2 linked regions of the Lepisosteus oculatus genome follow. The protein of the gene in region 1 interacts with the protein of each later gene in a pairwise test. Links are inferred from orthologs where the notes say so. Each region holds a gene or a part of one and is shown on either strand. Other genes may lie near its edges.

Region 1 (10,238 bases):
TTTGACAATTAATGCTGTTCAGGTTCACCTTTTTGGAGGCATAGGCAAAGTGACTCGGGTGCTTTTGACATTATTTCTGTTGACATTACCTGTACATCAATAAATACGTCAGTTGGCCTACAAACCCACTTCTATATAATTTTAGAAATGTGGCTCATGTATTAAGAGGGGGGAGATCAGAAGAAACTGCAAGATACCATTCTGGCAAACACACCAACATAAGTTGAGCATAATCTTCATGTGTTACCTGGGGTTGATATGACCTATCTCTTTATCAAAATTCCTGCTGTTGATCACCTCAGACTTCCACTCCGTATCTACAAAGTGAAAGAGAAACCAGTCAAACACAGTGAAGCAAACACTCGAAGTAAGCACTTCAAGGATTGAAACATTGCCAATACATTTTTCATGGAAAATGTCACAGCAGCTTAACATTCTGTAGCAGTGCTCCAATCCAGTCAGGTTGACCAAGTAAAGTACAGTATTTGTACATGCACGTAGATAACAAACAATTGAGTTTTTGCTTTGATGACAACATGCTTAGACATACTAACCTTTGAAATGGTGAAACAGTCAACTTTTAAAGTGCTTTTACAAGCTTTTAATTGCTTTCTTCATCTGACCAGAGGGCAGCGATGGGGCAGCCAAGGAACTCTCAGAAGAAAGACTGAGCCCTAGTGCCCAGACTAGCTAGTTAAGCCTGGGTCTAGTTACTAGCTGACTGTGACTGAGACATCCCAAGTGGAGGTGGCACACAGTCGGCAGATTCCCGTAGTGGGGCAGAAGTGAAGTTAGTCAGCCAGGGTCTTTCTGGCTAGCGGTGATGTCAATATGGGACATGCTACACCTCCAGGCAGCACTATGTCAAACACTTCAGCATGTCAAAGTGACTCTACATTTGGGCAGGTCTATGCGCGTAGGGAATTTCTCAGAAGTCACGCTATTATGATTGCAGCTAGAAAAACTTTCAGTCTCCAGCCTGAAATGATAGAGGAGCAAATATGGCCAAATAACATTTAAATCTTATTATGTGATTTAGTGTGATGATTTGTGACAAAAAAAATGATGTATTAAGGCAGCTATGGAATAGATTGGTAACCAGTATGTTGCTCTACCATTAATCCTTTTTTAAAAATCAGCATGTCATTACAGTTCAGTCTCTGCCAGGCGACAGTGAAAAGGAGTGTTTTAATTGTGCCTACTTGAATTCACTTTACTTGTAAAGTTGTGGAAAGCTTACAAACCTAACTGCAGTGTGTAAAGATCTAAAGCTTTATTGTGCAGTCTGAACACTGAAGCCCCATCTAACTGAAAAACAGTGGTTCACACTGACAGTACTCACTGTACGTATATGTTGTTTCAGTCTTCCGTTCGCCATTTTCTTCATAGTCCCTTGGGGGAAAAGGATGAAACAGATTACCAGCTAATGCAGCATTTGTGAAGTGTAATTATTCTGCTTTCTTTAAATAGTACTACTAATCAACTATACTATATATGATTGTTTTAAACTGTTACAGGCTTGACTTGTTAAAGATGCTTGTTTAAAAGAAGAAACTGATCAATAATAAAAAAGAAAATGCCCGTTCAAACTTCAGTTAGAACTCGGCATGTGAATAACTAAGCAAACAACTTCTGCAAGACAGTGAGAAACACTATTTTCAGTTTCACATACAGTATCCATACCTCTATCAGACACTGAAATACAGCATGTGGTACATTGAGCCGTGGTATTCGGAGACTATGAAATTTGTTTTGCAGAACATTATTAAAAATGGGTCACTTACTTGAGAACATTTTTTAATTTGATCATGTATTTGTGAATGTACAGAAAATTCTGATTTCATGTGCATTTTTAAGGTTTGCTAAGGTATATCCCCGAAACTTTGGAGGTTAGCCTTGAATGGACAGGGTTGTGGAGGGGAAAATCCCTTTACAGAAGGTTGATTATTCCAGGTAGGAGTCACAATGACGAGACACCAATCCCAGAAGCCCAGGGTGCAAACTGGGACTACACCCTGGACAGCACGCCAGCTCACTGTAGGACACATCCACCCAAAGATGTGCAACAAAGATAGAGAGATCTGTTAACCTAGCTTGTTATTTCTTTATGAGCAGGAAGAAAAATGAAGCACCTGGAGGCACCACACAGACACAGGGAGTGAAGGAAAAATATTCTGATGAAACTGGCCAAATTATACTCAGATCTTTTACAAACATTTAATTCATAAAAAGAAAGCACTGATATTCGCACTGTATAATGACGTTAAGCTGTGGGTGGGTGTATTATGATACGTTGGCAAAGTGATCATGGGGTACTCTCCACTGTTCTCCCGTGTTGCACTATGACAGGCTGTGCTGTTGACACAGCGTCCTGACAACAGTGTGGTGCTAGAGTTGTGCCTTCAGCCTCTCACCGGCTCTCTTGGTACTCCACCCACTGGTACATTTCAACCTCCCGCTTCAGCTTGGCTGCATGGACGCTGATTCTGTAGTTAGGGTCGTTCAAAGGCTGCAACAAGTCACACGTTTCATTCTCAGGACTTAACAGCACTTAGACAGGCAACATACAGGTACAGTACATGAATGTGGGTCCTAGGTGGAGTTTGAGTCCAGTACTCACAATGGTACAATGTGCAATAGTCTCAGTCGGTGCTTATTTTGGTCAAAAGGCTACCTTTGTGCCACACTTACCTGGATACACTGTATTTTTAAATCTTACCACTCTTTCTCTTACATGTAGTCCAATAAAACTTGACATTCTTGCTGCCATATCACCCTGCAACTCAAAACTGGCAGCCCACTGAAGCTAAGTAGGTGTGAGCCTGGTCAGTACCTGTATGGGAGACCTCCCAGGGAAAACTAAAGTTGCTGCTGGTAGAGGTGTTAATGGGTCCACCTGCAGTCTGTGTGGGTCCTAATGCCCCAGTATAGTGACGGGGACATTATACTGTAAAAAGACACTGTCCTTCGGATGAGATGTAAAACCAAGGTCTTGACTTTCTCTTGTCATTAAAAATCCCAGGGCATTTCTCAAACAAAGTAGGGGTGTAACCCCAGTATTCAGGCCAAATTCCCTCCTGGACCAATTATGTCCTCCTAATAATCCCCATCTATGAATTGGCTCTGTTCTCTTCCCCACTGATAGCTGATGTGTGGTAAGCGTTCTGGTGCACTATGGCTGCCGTCGCTTCATCCAGGTGGATGCTGCACATTAGTGGTAGTGGAGGAGAGTCCCCATTACATGTAAAGCGCTTTGAGTGGAGTGTCCTGAAAAGCGCTATATAAGTGCAAGCAATTATTATAATTATCATTAATGATTAAACAGTGTTTCTTTTAATTCAAAGTTTTCCTCCTAGCAGGAGGGGCCTGACAGCTATGCTGCCTACAGTACCTGAGGTGTCCGCAGGGGCCCAGACAGGTGCACCAGCTTTCCATTGTTCTGAGGGTCAACACTATGAATATTGTCCAGAGGCACCACCAGAGACAGGCCCTCATCTAGGGAAGCTGCCGTCTTCAGAGCCCTTCCCTGAGCAGAGAGACAATATACTCTTACTGGGCACCTTCAATGTACAGTTAGCTGCACTTTTTATTTTTCGCAAAGCAGTTAAAACCAGTTAAATTACTGTAAGTTAGAATGCAGGGAGAATCCCAGCTGACAGACTCAAAAGGCTTTTGTTATTTCAAATATATTAGACTGTGCCTGAAATACAGCAAGGAATTAATCTTCTCAGTCATCACCAATGAAAACCTTTAGAGCCGTGTTAGCTAGGGCAGGGTGTACAAGAATGGACTAGATCTTGCACATTATAAATGTGTATGTTAAGCCATCTTAAAATGAAAAGACAATAGCATTTCTACTACATGAAACGCAAGTGTCAAAGGGTCTGTTCCTTTAAATGTGGTTGCCCCAGCAGCTCATGCTGCTGACGATTAGCTTGATTTCTGGTACCTCGTTAGTGAAGAGTACATAAAAAGACAGGGCAAACAGCCCGATGCCAATCAGCATTCCTCCGCTTGTCTGGCTCAAGCGCTCGAGGAATCCAGCGTTTCTATGGCTTGTCACTTTCACATGCTGGTCCTTCCTCTGTCCTTGGGAAGGCTGCTGAAATAAATCATAAAAATAAAACATTTAAGCCCACATTCACCTTCGCTAACAAGAGGCAGCATGCTTATTAGGTCATTTCTATAGCACGGAATTTGTAAGTGTAATGTGTGTCCGTAATACAGTATGTTAAGAGCATGTGAAGTGGGCTATTTAAGTGCACAACCATTAAAAAAACATTTTTTAGCCAATCTACTCTAAGATTGAACCTCACACTTTGATAGACTTACTGGATACCTTTTAAAACATGTATGAAAAAAAGTCTCTAACCCCATCCCTATATACCTCCTTCATTCTCCAAAGACCATACCTCACTATTTAAGTGTAATTATTATTAAAAGTGTACCTTGTGGTTTTAAGATGTGCTTTATAGTTTGTTTAGTGAATTCCACAACTCTCTCCCATTACTGCCTGGTACAGCTCTGATAGCTAAATGGGAAAGTTTACAAACAGCGCATTTTGCAGAAGAAAATTAAATAAGTGCCATACATGTAACCGTGTTACTTGTAAACGATGAAAAACATTTTCATCGGTTTTTTTTCAAGGGTTAAAATTATGGTTTAAAGGTAACAGCACCTTCAAAAAAGATCAAAATGTTTTCGACGCAAGGAAATATGAGCATCAGTATCATAACTTAATCCAATCATTATTCGATTTTCAGTTTCTATTCACCGTGTCTTACATTTTCGTGCCTTAAACGCACAAGTCTAGGTAAATTAAATACTTCACTTACATTAGCGGCCGACATTGTGTTGATCTCCGCCCTGAGTTATTCAATTTCTAAAATAAAACAGTAAAACGTCCGTATATACGATGGATGTGAGAATAGCACAAAAACTAAATAATTTCGGAGTTTTGTGAATGATCTGTTGGGATTTGCATTCGCTCAAAACAAACTGCTTCCAATTAAACCACCTATTCAAACAAACCCGAAGTTCAAAACCGGAAAAATTTGGACGTTCAGGGTTTAAAATAATTACGTTCCTTCGGCGTCTGCGCGATTGCAAGACCGTCGCCGTTCGCTTTTCCAATTTGTCAACTGTTGTGTGCGTTGGCGCAGCGAGGTTTTCTGGGAACTGTAGGCTGTACATGTAACGTATGACCATCCGTTATACTAGTATATCTGTTTTTACTTGTTATGTGAAAATTCAAACATTAATCCAGTGAGTTTTAGCTTTTTCTAAAACTATGCAACCAGATAACGATTAGCCGTGGGTGTTTCGGAACGTGCAAGCAGTGCAGAAATAATAGCGTCCCTTTTCAAGTAAATGACTATAATATTATGTTGAAAACATTTTCATATACACCAGCTTTACTAAAGTCAACAGTTAATCTCTGTTACAAACTTCCCAAATATGTCTTTGGTTAGGTGAGCAGGTAATTAATTCAGCACTAAATCATGACCCGATAGTACGTGACAACTACTCTTGCATTTATTAAATTAGAATATGTGTGCTGACCTTTTTTCAAATGCAGCTATGTAGCTTACATGTGTTAAAATATAACTGAAAATGTTATTATTTATCATTAAATATCCTATGTTGCCACAATGAAATCAATTACAAATCAGTCCAAGACTGAATTTATTAATAGATTAATGGGTACAATAATTTAGTACAAATAAATTAGTATAAAAGGTGATACATTGGAGATGTGAATTAAGGAAACTTAGAATACTATTCTAAGTAGATAATACTATTATCTTTTTTTCTAGTGTACAACTACAGGACATTTGAAGAACCGACTTCATTTAAATAATCAAGTGGGAGAATACAGAGCTGCTACTTCAGAGAGAGATTAAGACGTTTTAGAAAAAACAACACCAAAAAAAACAGAAAAGTACAAAACACAAGCTTTTTTATTATTATCTCTAAAAATATGTTTTGCGTTAAAGAATATTTTAATTACAGATTATATGTAAGCAGATACAAACTTCAATTTTTAAGCAATGATATGTATCTTAATAGTTTCTAGCATAAACACACAAAAAAGCACACGCATACAACCTGACAATATAAAACCAGTCAAAAGCTGACATAACTAAAAACGTGAAGACCTGTGTTTTATCACATGGTTGCAGTCCAGTACATTTTTTGAATGACAGAGTGGTAAAATGCAACAGCAATAATTCAACATTATTCTCCCTGAACCACTTTTCCGAGATTCCAAGCTTCGTCTCGGAATCAGATACCCAGGTGCTCGTGGTTTTCCCGGAGCCATGCATGATACAAGTTCAGCTTGTGATCTTGGGGATCAACCTAAGAAGATAAACATGGATAAAAAATCGACAGTTACCGTCACATTTTTCCAATCCTGCTTATGTGTCCATAAAAAAACAGGGCCCGTATCATGTCTGGATAACTCTGTCATCCATTTTTGTGATTACACTGGATAGAGTTCTTAATCAATGAGTCCAGCTGCCCCCAACTCACCTGTTTCCATTCATTGACACAGAATATCCTGTAGGAGTCGTTGCCATACTTTCCTATACCATGGAGCTCGATGGGGTACTTCCAGTGTTTTGTTAAGTATTCATCTGCAATGGCAAGAATCTGAAATGTAAGCCTTTCGCACCTGTACAGAGTTCAAAGGCTTTACGAGAGCAAAGGTTTGTTCTCCTACAAGAGTCTGCTATCTAAGCAGGTGCAAAACCCCAGTCGGTCACATTGGTGCCAGTAGAGAACAGGATCAAAATGAGGTCACACACAAAACTGGAGAGAACTCTTTCAAGTATCATCAGAGACTTATACTGTGCTCTTTTTACCTTGTGTGTCTGCTGAAAAGTGAAAATTTCACATTGGTTTTCTAATACACAATGTACAGTAGATGGAGGGCTGATTATAAAATCATTTTGACTATGACTGATTGTGATGGGCAGGGTGAAATTAGATAAGCGTCATTATTACATCCTTTGTTAACCACAACATACAGTGGTTGTTATCCATAGTCTGTGGATAATAAGCAGAAACTCCCTATCACCCAATTATGACAGGGGTGGTGTGGTGTGTCTGTGGCTAAGGAAGTTGGGGTATGCGAAAATACAAATTCCTAATACAAGAAATTGCATATGGCCAATAAAGTGTTTTATCTTATCACAAAGTGAGCTTAGTGCACTACACTCCAAATACAACATACTTACTTCTGCAAATCGTATGATTACACTGATGAAAAGAAAAACATGGAAAAATAATCCTCAACATAATCAGAATATTATGAACATTCAGTTTTATGTAGTTCAGGACTATGGTGAAGAAATCCATCCTTACATCTGTTTTCTAACCGGTTCTTCTAGTTCAAAGTACCAGCACAGAAAGAGCTTACCCTGGCAAGCAACAGGCACAAGGCAGGGTACACCCTGGATGGGATGCCACCCCACCACAGGGCAGATAGGCACCAACACACACACGCATACAACTCACACCTAGGACTTGTTGAAGAAATCACTGTGACACACAAATTGCTTAACATACTGTAGCTACAGTATAGTGAGAAATACATAATTGCTTCTTTTTTGGTTTAAAACATTGTATCACTCACCTGAAAACCTCACAATTGTTTTGGCTCTGAGTTCATTGAGGCCCAGAGGTTTCAGCAGTTCAGCCATTTCTTTCCAGTCGCTGACACGGGCCACCTCAGGAGACGGGTAACGCCCAAAGAACTCCCACAGCACAGGGATTGCCATCTTACCTAAAAGAAAGAGTCTCTTTACTTTCAACTGACAGAAAGACAGAACTGAACCGCGCCCCACATCCGAACCTAGTATTTTAGGTTAGCTCTCTGTGAAGGGAATTGTCTCATTGTCCTGTTCTGTTTGAAGCCACAACTCTTACCGCTGGTTCTATTGAGGAAAATGGTGGCTATCAGAAGCTTCCAGGGATCATGGAAAAGAGTCTCCTGTACCAAGGCAAAAGGAGAGCGAGGCGGAGTCCATTTCTTAAAGGCCTTGCGTCTGGGTGGACTTGGAGCTAAGAAAAATAAAGTGAACATGTTTCATTTGGGAGAGTTGTCCTTTTTGTTCCTGGTAAAAGTTGAAAATGATGTTTCCTTACCTTCTCTGGCTAATTTTCCAGTGAAGTACTGGCTTGTTTTTCTTTTCTCTGACAGCATTTTTATGCCACAACCTGAAGGTAAACAAAACAGTACCAGATTCATTGATGGACTTGGACAATATTTCAATGTTTCTATCTAAGGTTTTCTTAAGCCTTCTCCTTTTGTAACTGAATATACTGTCTATTTTCATTGCAAAACATATCAGGCCACGATTCCTATTCGGTTTGGAGAAACCCCTCAATGTTCCCCAGAACGTTAAGAGCTATACTCAAAGATTTAACTTTATGCTTACTGCTTTGCTGCTGTTTCACTGATGTAAATGTCCCCGAGTCCCCCGGAGGAAGTGAATCACCATCTTCTAGCGCAGACTCAGTTTCAGGTCCGACAACAGCTTGCTGTGTCTCTGCAGCGTTCTTAGACACAGGCTGTAAGGCACTTTTCCCTGGGGCAGAGGCCTCAGGCTGGTCACACACCACTTCTCCCGACTCATTTTCACCTTCTGGGGAAAGTGCGAGCTCTGCTCCTTTATCCGCTTCACTTATCTGGGTCAGTCTGAGAAGCTTATCCTTTAAAAGTCCCTTTTCAGTCTCTTTTTGATCTCCAGTGTGGTTTGCAATTTGATTTTCTCCTCTTTCACCGCTCACAGTCAGTGCGTTTACGTCATTTACCTCACATTCCTGTGCCAGTCTGAGAAGCTTGTCTTTTAAAAGCCCCCCTTGAGTCTCTTTTTGGTCTCCAGTGTGGCGTTGACTTTGCCCTTCTTCCATTTCACTGCCCGGAGTCAGTTTATTTCCCCGTTTGCCCACTGCTCTTTCAGCACCGGCTTTTCTAACCCTACTGCTGGGATCCTTCCTCTGTTTCTGTCCTCTCTGTGGTCCTGCGGGAGTGAGCTTTGTCAGTGAGTGCCGACGTTTAGCCCTGGCTCTGCAACTTGTGCTTTCAGATTCTGAAGACTTGGATTTCTCAGCACAAGGCGCAGAAAAGACCCCGTCAGTGGCAGCATCATGTCCAGACAGCTCTTCTGACACACTGCTGGGTGACAAGTGTTCCTCTTCGGCTGTAATCTTAATGTCAGTTGTGCTGTCCAAGACGGTTTCTGAAAGTTGGAGAGCTTTCTTCTTTTTTGTCCTCTGAGGTTTTGTTAACTGTTTGTCCTTCCCAGGTACAGAGAAATCAAAATCTGCACCCTTGAGACAGAGTTCTTTGTTATTCTGAAGGTAGACATGGAGTGAAGCTCTTGATCTGAATTTCCCTCCCTGTGGACTGAGTACACCAAGTGTTAATTCCTTTGGTTCAAAACAAAATACGTCTCATATATATATATATTGTTCTCAGATCTGACTAACAGTTACAAAAACAACTGTACAAATGTATTTTTAAAAGCTTGTTTTTCTATATGGTAATGCATAGGGACCATTCTCTCAGACATGCAGACTGCAATAAACATGAGTAACAACATCTATGTACAGCAACAAGAAAATAGAACCTGAAGTGTTGTGCCTCTTTTTAACACAGGTTTGAGCATTGATGTAGATATAATTACTTTATAAACATTTGTAAAAACATTTTTTAGAGGATGTTATTGACCAATCATAATTGTTCATTTTCAAATGCCCTTGTGCTTATCTAAAATGGGGAAGATGTATTTGGGATCATATAGACACTTGTACTATATTTATAACCCAGTACCTGATGATATATACGTCTACTTTCCCTGCCGTTTTTCCAGATCGCCTCTGTTTCACCATTTTAACCCAGCCTGGCGGGACTCCGAGACAGCAGCAGGTCTCCATACACGAGTCGGGGCTGGGACTCTGCTTTGGTGCAGCTTTCTCTTGCTGGTCCTCATCTGACAAAGAGGGCTCTTCACACGCTATTGCTTCTGTGGTAGCAGTTTCACTAGGTTTGGAAACAAAACACACAAGTTTCCAAAATGTCTAGTTACAAAAATGTTGTCTATGAGACTAGGATAACCCCGTGCAATACTATAAATCCCTGTAACATACGGTATATAGTACCACAATTAGCTATTTAGTCACGAAACCTGCCTTTAAAATTAATACACATGCATTTCATAGCATGTCAA
Region 2 (11,048 bases), on another chromosome or scaffold:
AGAAGGTGGCTCTCTGATATCCTTGGGGAGAGAGTTCCAGAGCTTGGGGGCATAACAGGAGAAGACCCTGTCACCCATACAAAAAAAGATGTTTTGACAATATGCTGCACATGTGGGTCTAATGTTTAGCCAGAATAGAATATAACCCCAAGGTTTTTCAATTTAGATTGACACTCAAGTACAGAACCATCTACAGATAGGGTTACAGGATTGGCTTTACGAAGTTAATGGGGGTGCCAATAAGCATGACTTCCGTCTTGTCGCAGTTAAGATGAAGGAAATTCAAAATAATTTAGAAAAAAAACTTTTTTCTTCATTCTTTCTACTTTTTAGTGTAGAATTAACTTGTTAATTTGCAACTGACACACTGATAAAGCTACCCACTCAAACTTGTAATTAACGTGCATCTAAGATGTACCCACAATTTACAGTAGATTGCTTTTGATATTGTTTTCTTAAACTCATTACATTTTCTTATAATTTAGTATAGTGTTTGGATTTATGAAGATTATTTGTGCCATTAACATCATTAATTTTGTACTGGAGTTCAGTATGGTAATTGTGGAAAATTGTGTAATTGTGCTGTGTAATGTTATCATACTGCAAAAAATGTTGCTTTTAGTGCTTATAAGCTTAATTAGAATTCTAACAATATTTCTAGCAAAAAAACACCAGCACAAAAATCATATTGCTACATCAAATGAAAAATTAAACAATAGCTGAAAAAAAAAACACTCATTCAATGAAATGGTTATGCCTGCATAGAGGCAGAGAGAATGGATAGGTGGGGATTTGTTGGGCTGAGGTAAAGGTGCATATCATCTTCGACCCTGAGATGAACTCTGTATTTGTTCTTCATGTAAGTTAATGCTGGAAAACCAGACTCACAAAGAAAGGTGATGTGAACAATGTATTTTCATTTTGGATTAAGTTCTAAAATACAGGCAGTAGGCATTCAGGCAAATGCATGTGTTTGAAATGAGAATTGTTTAATAGAAAACAGAGAGTACACATAAGGGGTGAATGCTCAAACTGCAGTGAGTGAAGCAGTGATCTGTGCTGGAACTAGTGCTGTTTCTATTTTTTTCAATGATTTAGAATATCTTATAGTGAGTAAACTAGTCATGTTTGCAGAACACACCAAAGATTAAATTTAAGACTGGGCAAACACCTGGCAGATTTTAAAACAAGTGCATTGTTTTGCATACATATATCAAAAACATAAACTATAACTACAAAATGGGAAACATAGAGTTAGAATAGGCTACTTAAGAAAAAGACATAGGTGTTTATGTTGACACATAATTTACATATTCTAGACAATGTGGGGAAGCAAAAAGTTAACAAAGGCAAAAGTTACAGTATATGAATGGATGTCATGTTAAAATAATATAACACACTTGTAATTTTAACATTTTGGTTAGGCATTTGGACCAGCTTTGTTCAGATATATGGTGTGACCACTGAGAGAAGAGTCATTTAGGGAGAGGTAACTGATCTGAGGAAGACACTGGGTGCTGATAGAACATGGAAAGAGTATGTGTCTCTGGAATGGAGACTATGCTGATGCTGAGGAAATGATGAGGAGTTTCTGCAACTGAAGGAGTTAAATTTGTTTGGATTTGGAGCCCACTGCAAAGATGATGGAGGAACCTGAGGCTCAAAGAGGGAGTAACAATTTGGAAGGGAGTAGGAATGGGGGGCAATGAATGAGAAAAGACTGAAGGTATTGAGGCATAAAAATAAGAGAGGCTACATTGCAGGGAGGTGTGAGAATAGAAGTCACAAACAACAACTGGAGTATTTGTACCTTTAGTCACTGAAGTGGAGGGCAATATCACAGATAATGTTTTCTGGTTTACAGAGATACACTGGGAAGGTGGCCTTCAGAATTCAGAGTGACAGAGAGAGAGAGAGAGAACTGCATTGTTGGGAAACTGGATTATTTGTTGAGTTGACAGATGAAGGTGAAGTTGTGGGAGAGTGTAGATGGAAAAAGATGGCGGAAGGAAGCTGGGAGCTGTCACCGCACAAGGTGGGATTCTAGAGAGAAGAAGAAGAGGTGAAGAAATTAGAAGACAGGAAAAGTAGGGTTTTTAGAATGCTTGATGTTCAGGAAAGGATGGAAAGAGAGCATTGGACAGATAAAGAGGATGTCAGGGGTTAATACTGGAGTGAGCCAGGCACCTGAAGGGAAAGAAAAATTACTTGGAAAAGTAAAATATTGCTAAGGGCCGAAGGCATGGTGTGCTAGACACAGGATGTTGCAGATAACAAAAATATAGGAACAAGTAAAGGTTTATTCACACAACATTTTGGCAGTGTGACAATTTTCGCGTGTCACTTGAACTATAACAAAAATATGTCTTCCAAATTGGGTTAGAGATCAATTATCTGCTCAGTCAGAGGGAACAATAAGGTTTGGTTTCATTCGACATGTGAAAGGAGAGGGGATCCGTTGAGACTTGTACAGTAAGTTCTATCTCTTGTGAGATTGAAATCTGAATAGGATAGGATAGAAAGGTAGGGAGGGATGTGAAAGGAGAAGAGCCAATCATGGACACAGCATAATACAGTTGGCTTCCCAGTGGGCGTATAAGTGCCTATGGAGTAATAGAGCCGTTTTAGCAGAAGGTTGTGGTATTCAAAGAAATTAGAGCATATTGGGACACCAATATTACATTACATTGGGGAGTTAGGGGAAATCTATTTAGCTATGTTGGACACCAGGAGACAGTAGTACAGATTGTAGGACACCTACTAACACAGCTTAAGGTGGGATGCCAGACTAGACCAATGACCAAAGAGGTGGTGTCATCAGCTGCAGGGACTGAAAGTGGAAACTGGAGCTGAAAGATTAGAACCATTAAAGAATGAAAAGAATTCTTTCTTTCAGCGTATTTCATAAAAGAAATGCAGCATTTATGGAGGGTGTGTTAGAGCACGGCAACAGCTCAGTTGTTAACAGAAGGAAAAACTGTAATCAAAGGAAGTGATACAGGGTCTGTTTATAGAGGTTTGAAAGCAAGACTGATAAGAGACGACTGAGTCGAATATGAATATGATACTAAGACTGGTCATCAGACAACGAAGAAGCTAGCCTGGATCTGAAAAGGTCTTCATTCGAGTTATGGATCTAGACATCCATGGCTAAATGGTGAAGACAATGTTAAGAAAAAGATGCAGCAATAAACAATAAGTAGGAAGTAATCGACCACAGTTGCTTTGCCACATTATAATTATATTAAAGAAGAATGTAAGGAAAACAGATTTACAGCTTTTGGAAAAGTGGTGAAAACAAAATTGCTAATTTTGTTTTATTTTTGGTTTTATTTGGTCATTGAGTGCCTTTTACTTCTGTTATATGTAATATGCTTGTACTATTTTAGAGAAAATGAACGTTTTTGAGAATAACGTGTGTCACAAATTTTATGTCAATTATATTTGCATCATCTCAACATTTTTTTAATTGGTGGTGCTTATAAACTTCTTTAGAAGTAAATAGGGTATATGTTTCTTTTCCAGTGTAGCAGTTGTTAAGCTGGCACATGATATCTGTTACAAAATAAATTTACAACCATGTGAAATTGTTTTATTGCAAGCACTACCTTTCAAACTTGCTTGAAAAAGTCAACAGTTTGATACAGCTTATGTATAGTAGATGTTATGAAGATAATGATTAAAATAAAAAATAATAACGTGAATGTTAAGTGTTCGGGAATTAAATTGTTGAACAGTTAAAAGTTTTAAAATATTTTCTTTATATAATAAGCATTGCTTTTTAAATAAAATAACCTGAAGTGAAGCTAAATGCATAATAAGCATTTAAATTTACATATACAATTAAATAGTTGCTAAAGGTATCAATTTACACTTCATGTAGACTTCCACATGTACTTGTACATGTAGACGTCATGCACACTTCCACACTGTTTGCTAACTTGATCTGACCACAGCAAGACTAAAGTCTATTTCATTAACATACATATTTCTGTAAATCAGAAACAGAGGCCTTCATTGAATTATAAAAACACAGAAATGGTCACATTTTTCATTGAATGTGAATGGGGGTTAATATCATATTAAAATGTTTCCAAAAATACATTCTTAAGAAAAAAAGACATCTCAGCACAGATATCTATGTTCTGCAAAATACGTACAAATACATACATAATATGGAATCACACTTACCCCAGTGTAGAATCAATGTTTTCTGTAGGACCAGGAATGGAATGCATTGGATTAAGTAGACCGTTCTGTCTTTTATAATAAGGCAGAATAGAGTCATCATAAGCAAACCTTTTTACCATTAGGAAAGCCTACAGTAGGTGAGAACAGGATGAAAGTGATTGAAGTAAAGTGTATGCCTCTCAGTTTTAGCTTTCCCCCAGGTCAATAAAACTCTGTACTTTGAGTTCTGTATTGTCTTGATTTTTAAAGTTAATAAGTAATTCACCTGTGGGAAGGACATGTTGTTACTAAGGGGACAATGCTAAGTCAGCTGATGCTTTTAAGTAGCCCTGCACTATTTATTCATTGATTTGCTTGGTTATTATTCACAGGCAGCGGACACAAATATTTTTTAAATTTGTGTATTATTTGAAAGTTTGTGTTGAACCTTTTATTTTACAAACATGCAAACATATATTTAATGTAATTGAATTCTAAATGATTGTATATTACATATCTCATATATTACATACAGTATAACAAATGTAAATTTAAATCCAGTTCACAAAAAAGGCCATAATATAGACATATTTTTTCAACTATTTTGTACATTAAAAAAACAAAGGTGTATTGCTGTAAACTATGTAATCTGTAAATCACATCTCTAGGGCACATCTCTAGGGCACATATAATACTATACATTGTTTGACGCAACCTCCTACAAAAAAGAATTATACTACAGCAAAAAGCAGAGCACCTGGTTGTAGCAAGAAGTCTCAAGGCAGCAGGTTCTCTGGGGTATTTAAATCCTGATCAGACGTTTACTCCCTTTCACCTCCCAAGCCACTTTCCAGCTTCCCAGCAGAGCCCTTCTCGTTCCTCCTTTCCAGTTCTTTCTCTTGGAATCAGCCTAGGAGCAGGGCTTCTCCAGGCTGCTGAATGAGGAAGAGAGGTTGGGATTCTGCTTCAGACCAGACCTCAGCAGATGACTCCCTTGGCCCACTCTGTGGTGCATCTCCCCAGTCAGACCTGATAGCGCATGCTGGCCTGGTCTTTTGAGACAAACCCCCCCAAAAAAGTGTGCCCTAGTCAGCCTTGTAACAGGAACAGCATGAAGACGTGTGTTGTCCTGCTGAACTATTCTCATGTGAATGAGCCTGCAGGGAATGCAGGATCTAAGGTCCTAGGATTTGATCAATGTGTCACCAGCACGTGTCAATCACTTGTTGAGACATGGAGTTTCTGATGCTTTGTACCTTGCACTGTGAAAGCAATTACGAACATGGAGCATTATGATGGTCTAATCTATGTGAGGTGCTGTGACTCATGTTTTCACACTTTATGGTATGTTAATGATGGACTATGCTTGGCTGTAATGTCTTGTCAAATTAGAACTGACTGACTTTGAATAATTCAGACAATGAACAACAGCAAAAACATTGCTGGCTTGAAGGCATAGTTCTCTTGATAAATGGGGATTGTGGGTTCATTTCTATGTTTTCCTTCTTTTTCTCCCCAGAGTGGACATTGAAATAGATCCTCCTACCTAGGCAATGGAATTTAGAGGTTCAAAATACATCAATCATATTTTTCCATAAATTGGGAAAGTTGTTAACCAGCTGAGGTCAGATAGAACTGGATGTTTCTAGTCTTCTGTCAGAGTCACCACGCAACCACGCACTTGCCACATTCCAACGTGCATTGTTCACCGCAACTATCCAACCACTTTCCACCCTACTTAAGCCCTTCAACCGTACTATTCCTTGCTCACTATTGAGGAATACACACAGAGCCCTACTCTTCCCTTCGCTTGTTCTCTCCAGCGCTTATTGACCTCTCTTTTCCTTTCTTCCCTTCCTTCAACCCTATACTCTAACCTCACACAGGGTCCAATATACTGTACTATCTACTGGTGGACCAGACACCTTCCTTCCGTGGTTTGGTCCTCAACCATAGTTGTTCTCCTTTCCCTGATTATATGTGCCTAATAGAACCAGCTGGTCCTGTTTTATCCATGGGTAGGTATTAAACCTGTAATACATTTGCCCCATAAACAGCGGTAATCAGTGTAGAAAGATATCAATTGAACTTTCATCAAAACTTACGAGTTTCTCCTTGGAACCTATATAGTACAGCATATACTGCTCGAGGTTGCACCATGCAACTTAATCAGTCTAGCTGCAGTAATGTTGGATTAGACCACCTTCTCCCTGAGCTGTTTTCTTTTATAGTGTGAAATCAGCTTCCTGACAGCTGAAGCCAAGTTTCTCTAATAATCTCAAAATTAATGTGAATCCTCACTTATTCCTCTCTGTTGATTTCTTAAGTGTTCCTACACCATCTTCTAAAATTCTCCACCCATAGGTAGACTCCAGGCCCCTTTGCTGCATTATAATATTCCACATTATAATAACTTTTTGTGAATTTTTTGTACAGTAATATATCACCGTACGAGCAACCACTATACAAGTTTTGGTTATATGAAATGTAGTAATTCCTGTTTTTTTATTTATTTTTATTTAACAAGCAGATTTTCACTCTTACGAGCCGAGATCTTGTATGATTCTACTTTTCTGGCATCTTTTTGAAGATGAAGAGTTAAATTTTTTATACTTTGGTACCTTTTTTATAATAAAGGCTTGTTTGTTCTACTATAAGTACATATAGTACAGGCTAGTTTATGAATTAAGGACTGTCATCATGGAACTTCTATTAATGAGCAGGAGTCTTTTTTGTTTTCTGTTGTTTATGCATCAGCTAATGATTTTAAACATGTTGCTTGAATAATTAACCAGGGATGTTATTGTTTTACACTTAGAGTAGATGCTGTTCTGTGCTGTATTAAGGTGAAGTTTTTTTAGTTCTGGAGGTTCACAGGAAGTAAAGAGAATTGAATTTCCATGATTGAGTTTTCACCTTAAGAGTAATGAATTACTTTCACCTCAAGAAATGAATTAAGTTAGTATAATGAGGGATTACTATATTTACAAATGATAAGTTACTATGTTGAATATAAAAAATGGGATTTTGAACAACAGGATCTTGAAATTTCCTTTACTATGTTAATACAGTATCACATCATTTATAGTATGTGTTACAGATGTGAAAGTAGATTTTTTTCCTTTTTATTAGTGAAAAAAGATAAGGATACACTACTATAACATAATTATAAATATAATATTAATTCGTAGCTGTATTGTATCATTTAGCAAAACAAACTACACTGACATAATGTGTTTAGTTGTCTTAAGACACAAATAAGACTTTCAAAACCAAAGAGAAGGACATTTGGGTAATCCTGTGATGAGAGGGATAAGATAGAGATCCTATTCCAGTTAATACTTTCAGGTTTCACTCATATGATATTGAGCTGTACTGTATGTTAAGGAACAGGTAACGGGTTTATTTCATGCTGAATAGAAAAGAAAGGAAACACAAGGTTTCGGCCATGGAGTCTTCTTCAGGTGTGTACTGTATGTTGTTTATCTTTGAAGAAACACATTCAGACATGGATAAAAAAGATTACTGCAGAGATAGTGATCCTGAGAACCCATCAGCTATACTGATGGGATCCGAGAAAATGACTATGTGCAGGATACCACAGCATCTCTGTCATGATCAGCTTTGTTTTGCCAATAGTTTTTAAATTGTACAGTTTTTAATTTCCAGTCATAAAACAATGTAGTTAAAACTGATATTGCACTGACATCAATCTAAACAGTCACCAGAAGGAGGTCAGTTTCACATATTTATGTAACAGTATAACTGTAAACAAGGACAAATTACATTTCATCTTTCATTTCATTACACTTCTAATTCAGTTACAGATTTTTTTAAAACAAACTCCAACTAATTATAAGTGATAAATATGAATTTAGTCATTAATGTCTTGGTGGGATGGGAGCTGTGTAGTGAAATATTTATGCCAGCTCAAACACATCCATAAACTAAACGAATCTATTTTACGTTTTCATTGATTTATTAAATTGTATTATTATTTCATTATTTGATTTACTTAATACTAGTTGTTAAGCTTTTAGTTAACAGTAACTATTAGCTAACAGTGACATCTGATAATGTTTTTAAAATGGACAGCAATGCAATACAATTTCTACTTAGTGTATACAAGCTTTTTGTGGCAAAATTAATACAGTTGAAATTTGTTTAAATACTATTTGAACTTACAATAAAATTATGTAATGCTAAAGTTATGAAACTCAGATCTAATTTCTCCATCATAATCTGGCAGATATACTGTAATAGTGGACTAGCTATCAAAGACAGATTTATAATTTGTCCATTCTCATGCTTGTCTGAGTATTCTGCAATACAGTGAATCCTTCTATAATTAGAACAAAACAGCTTTTAATTCTTTATAGGATGACACTAATAAAACCAAAGAGCTCTGTAATCCTTTGGGTATCATAAAGGGTAATGGGATCCGGCATACATTATTTATTGTGAATAAAGAAGACTTTAGCATATCCATTATTCAGTACCCTATTTTAAGATTTCTATGTGTGAAGCATATAATGCAGAAGAATTTTACAGTTTTCTATTATCTTACCATCTTGATGTCTGGTGTGGAACACATGTAAAAACTTGTTTAAGTTTTGGAGGTTTAAGTGTGTAATATGTGTTACCTGAGTTGTTAAAACTCTTTCATTTGCCTGATTTATTAGAAGCAGATGGTTACCAGGCACACATTGTCACACATCCCAAGTAAATTGCAAAAACATTTCAGAATATGATGTCCCTCTAAGACATGTATTACTACTTCATCACGGAAACACAGCTAGTTGATTGTTAGTTCATGTCTAATACATGCCTTATTAGTGATGCATGAAGGGTTTTTATTACTGACAAAAGGGACTATAAGTAGACTATACAGTAGGTGTTAGACTAGGTTTTGTATAATTAAATATAATTACCAAGCTATCACTATTTGTATGTGTGTGTTGTCCATCTTCTGTTAAGTAATAGTATATCCTTCATGAAAAATAACAGATAACACATGCTATAGTAGCTCCTCCTCTTCTGAAGTGTTCTCTAACTTCCTTTTATAGAATTGTTTTCTGAGCCTGCAGGAGTATGCAACATAGCCTTATCTGCAGGTGGCTGGCCCCGGCCACCCTTTCAGCTTCAATGAGCTCTTCTGCAGCTGGTTCTATTCTTTCCACCCTGTGGAATGGTTAATTTATGGTTCTTTTTCTTCCTACAAGGTCTGAGAGAATTCTGTTGGTCTTATGCTCACCCTCTCTTATTTTTTGGAGAGTTAATCTAGATTCCCCTCCCTTCCTACTTCAAGCTGCTTTGCTCATTCTATAGCAGGTGAACAGCACTGAGTTTTTTTCTTGGCACACAGTACACCAACTGCACTGACAAATATGTACTGAGTACTCGGTTCTTGTACTGAGCTACATTGATTAAGCCGAGATAAAGATTTCTGAGCAGAAATGTACTGTTGGCTCCAATGAGGGTTTTCTGTGACAAAGAGGACATTGCACTGAGGTACTCTGTTTACTCCAAAGTAACATGGCCACAATGAGGTATCTTTTCTGCCTAGATGATGATTGAACTGGGGAAGGCTTCCTGTGAGTGTGAACTGAGGTTTCCTATGTTGAAGAATAGGGTGTCCCACAGTCCTATTTGTACCAAAGTACTTTCTCTGTATTACTGAATAACAGAGATGTGTTGAAAAAACATGAATAAAAAATTAAAGAGTGTTTCCTTTATCCTATTGACAGATATTACAGGTCTTTTGTCTTTTGATCAGGAAGATGTTTCATTGCTGATGCTGTTTCCTGGAGACAACTCACATAACCAGTCTGCCAGTGACTGGGACAAGAGCTTGCTTTCCTGGTCTTGAAGGGGTTTTCTCCCTTTTACTTTTAACTTTTACTTTCATTTTTCAGATCAGATGAAGTGCAGAGCTGGACATTTCTCATCCATAGATTAAGTCCTGGTCCCAGATTTGACAGTACCGCTAAATCCCAGCTTTCTTTTTCATCTCATTCTTTGGATCAGGAAACACACCACGTGACAAATCTTTTATGTCATTGTGAGCTGGAATTCAAGAATATACATCACAGTTATTTTTGGCTCCAGGGAAGAGAGGAGTCTTTCTAGGTTTCCAACAACTGATTTGAGAGCTAGCATTGAAATATTTTATTTCATTCTGCACAATATATCCATTTGAAATAGGATTTTCTGCTGTGTTGATTGTAAAATACAAGTAAACGTCAACAGGTAAAATACAGGTAAACGTCAACACTAAGTTTAGACCCAAACCTTCAGCTGAAATTTACCAACATATCACCTGACTTTGCCAGCAATGATCAGTCAAGAAACAACACACTTCCAGGACAGACATTTCTGAAAGCAAATCTGAAAGGGGAAGGGAACAATTGTCTTATATAACAGCTATTGTAACAGATACTAGAAATGCTTTATCAAAGCTTATATTGTTGATCTTATACTTGTATTTTGTACATAGCTGAAAAAGGCTGTGTGCAAACTAGGAATTGTAACAGATAGGCAAGTCCGGTATGTGTGAGGATATTACCATTTCTGTGGTTTTACCTCAGTTTTAAGACTGAGGGCTAAGATGGGCTCTGTGCCTTTTTATGGTAGGAGCTCAGAGAGATCATTTGTTTACTTGTAATACACATGCCCCAAACGTACAAGACAGTCAACCAATTGGAATGTCCCGTACATGGTCCACTCTTATGTGATCTTATTTTTACCTTTCTCATGCTAATATATTGAGAGACATTAAAAACACAACAAATGAGCACTGAAGCCAAGAGCATTGCTGCTCAGCTAAAAAATAGTGAAGTAGTGTGGAAAGATCATGTCTTTTTAAATATCTTTATATG

The links. The genes of interacting proteins can lie anywhere in the genome.
Region 2: the proteins of transmembrane protein 43 (region 1) and gramd2b interact in binary tests that used the Homo sapiens proteins (3 or more experiments, as listed by UniProt). The two-hybrid records come from large-scale screens. The link is inferred for Lepisosteus oculatus from reciprocal best matches to the Homo sapiens genes TMEM43 and GRAMD2B.

The regions. Positions count from the first base shown.
Region 1 is NC_090699.1:55,801,966-55,812,203, reverse strand, and holds the start of transmembrane protein 43, read right to left. Parts: upstream 5,119-10,238; 5' UTR 4,851-5,118; coding exon 4,836-4,850; intron 4,103-4,835; coding exon 3,950-4,102; intron 3,527-3,949; coding exon 3,392-3,526; intron 2,510-3,391; coding exon 2,415-2,509; intron 1,393-2,414; coding exon 1,343-1,392; intron 318-1,342; coding exon 248-317; intron 1-247. Other genes in the region: mbd4 (methyl-CpG-binding domain protein 4), read right to left, coding at 6,286-6,360, 6,535-6,638, 7,640-7,789, 7,933-8,067, 8,152-8,223, 8,445-9,415, 9,842-10,051. UniProt on the Homo sapiens protein: May have an important role in maintaining nuclear envelope structure by organizing protein complexes at the inner nuclear membrane. Required for retaining emerin at the inner nuclear membrane.
Region 2 is NC_090698.1:51,489,570-51,500,617, forward strand, and holds the start of gramd2b (GRAM domain-containing protein 2B), read right to left. Parts: upstream 4,363-11,048; 5' UTR 4,311-4,362; coding exon 4,192-4,310; intron 1-4,191.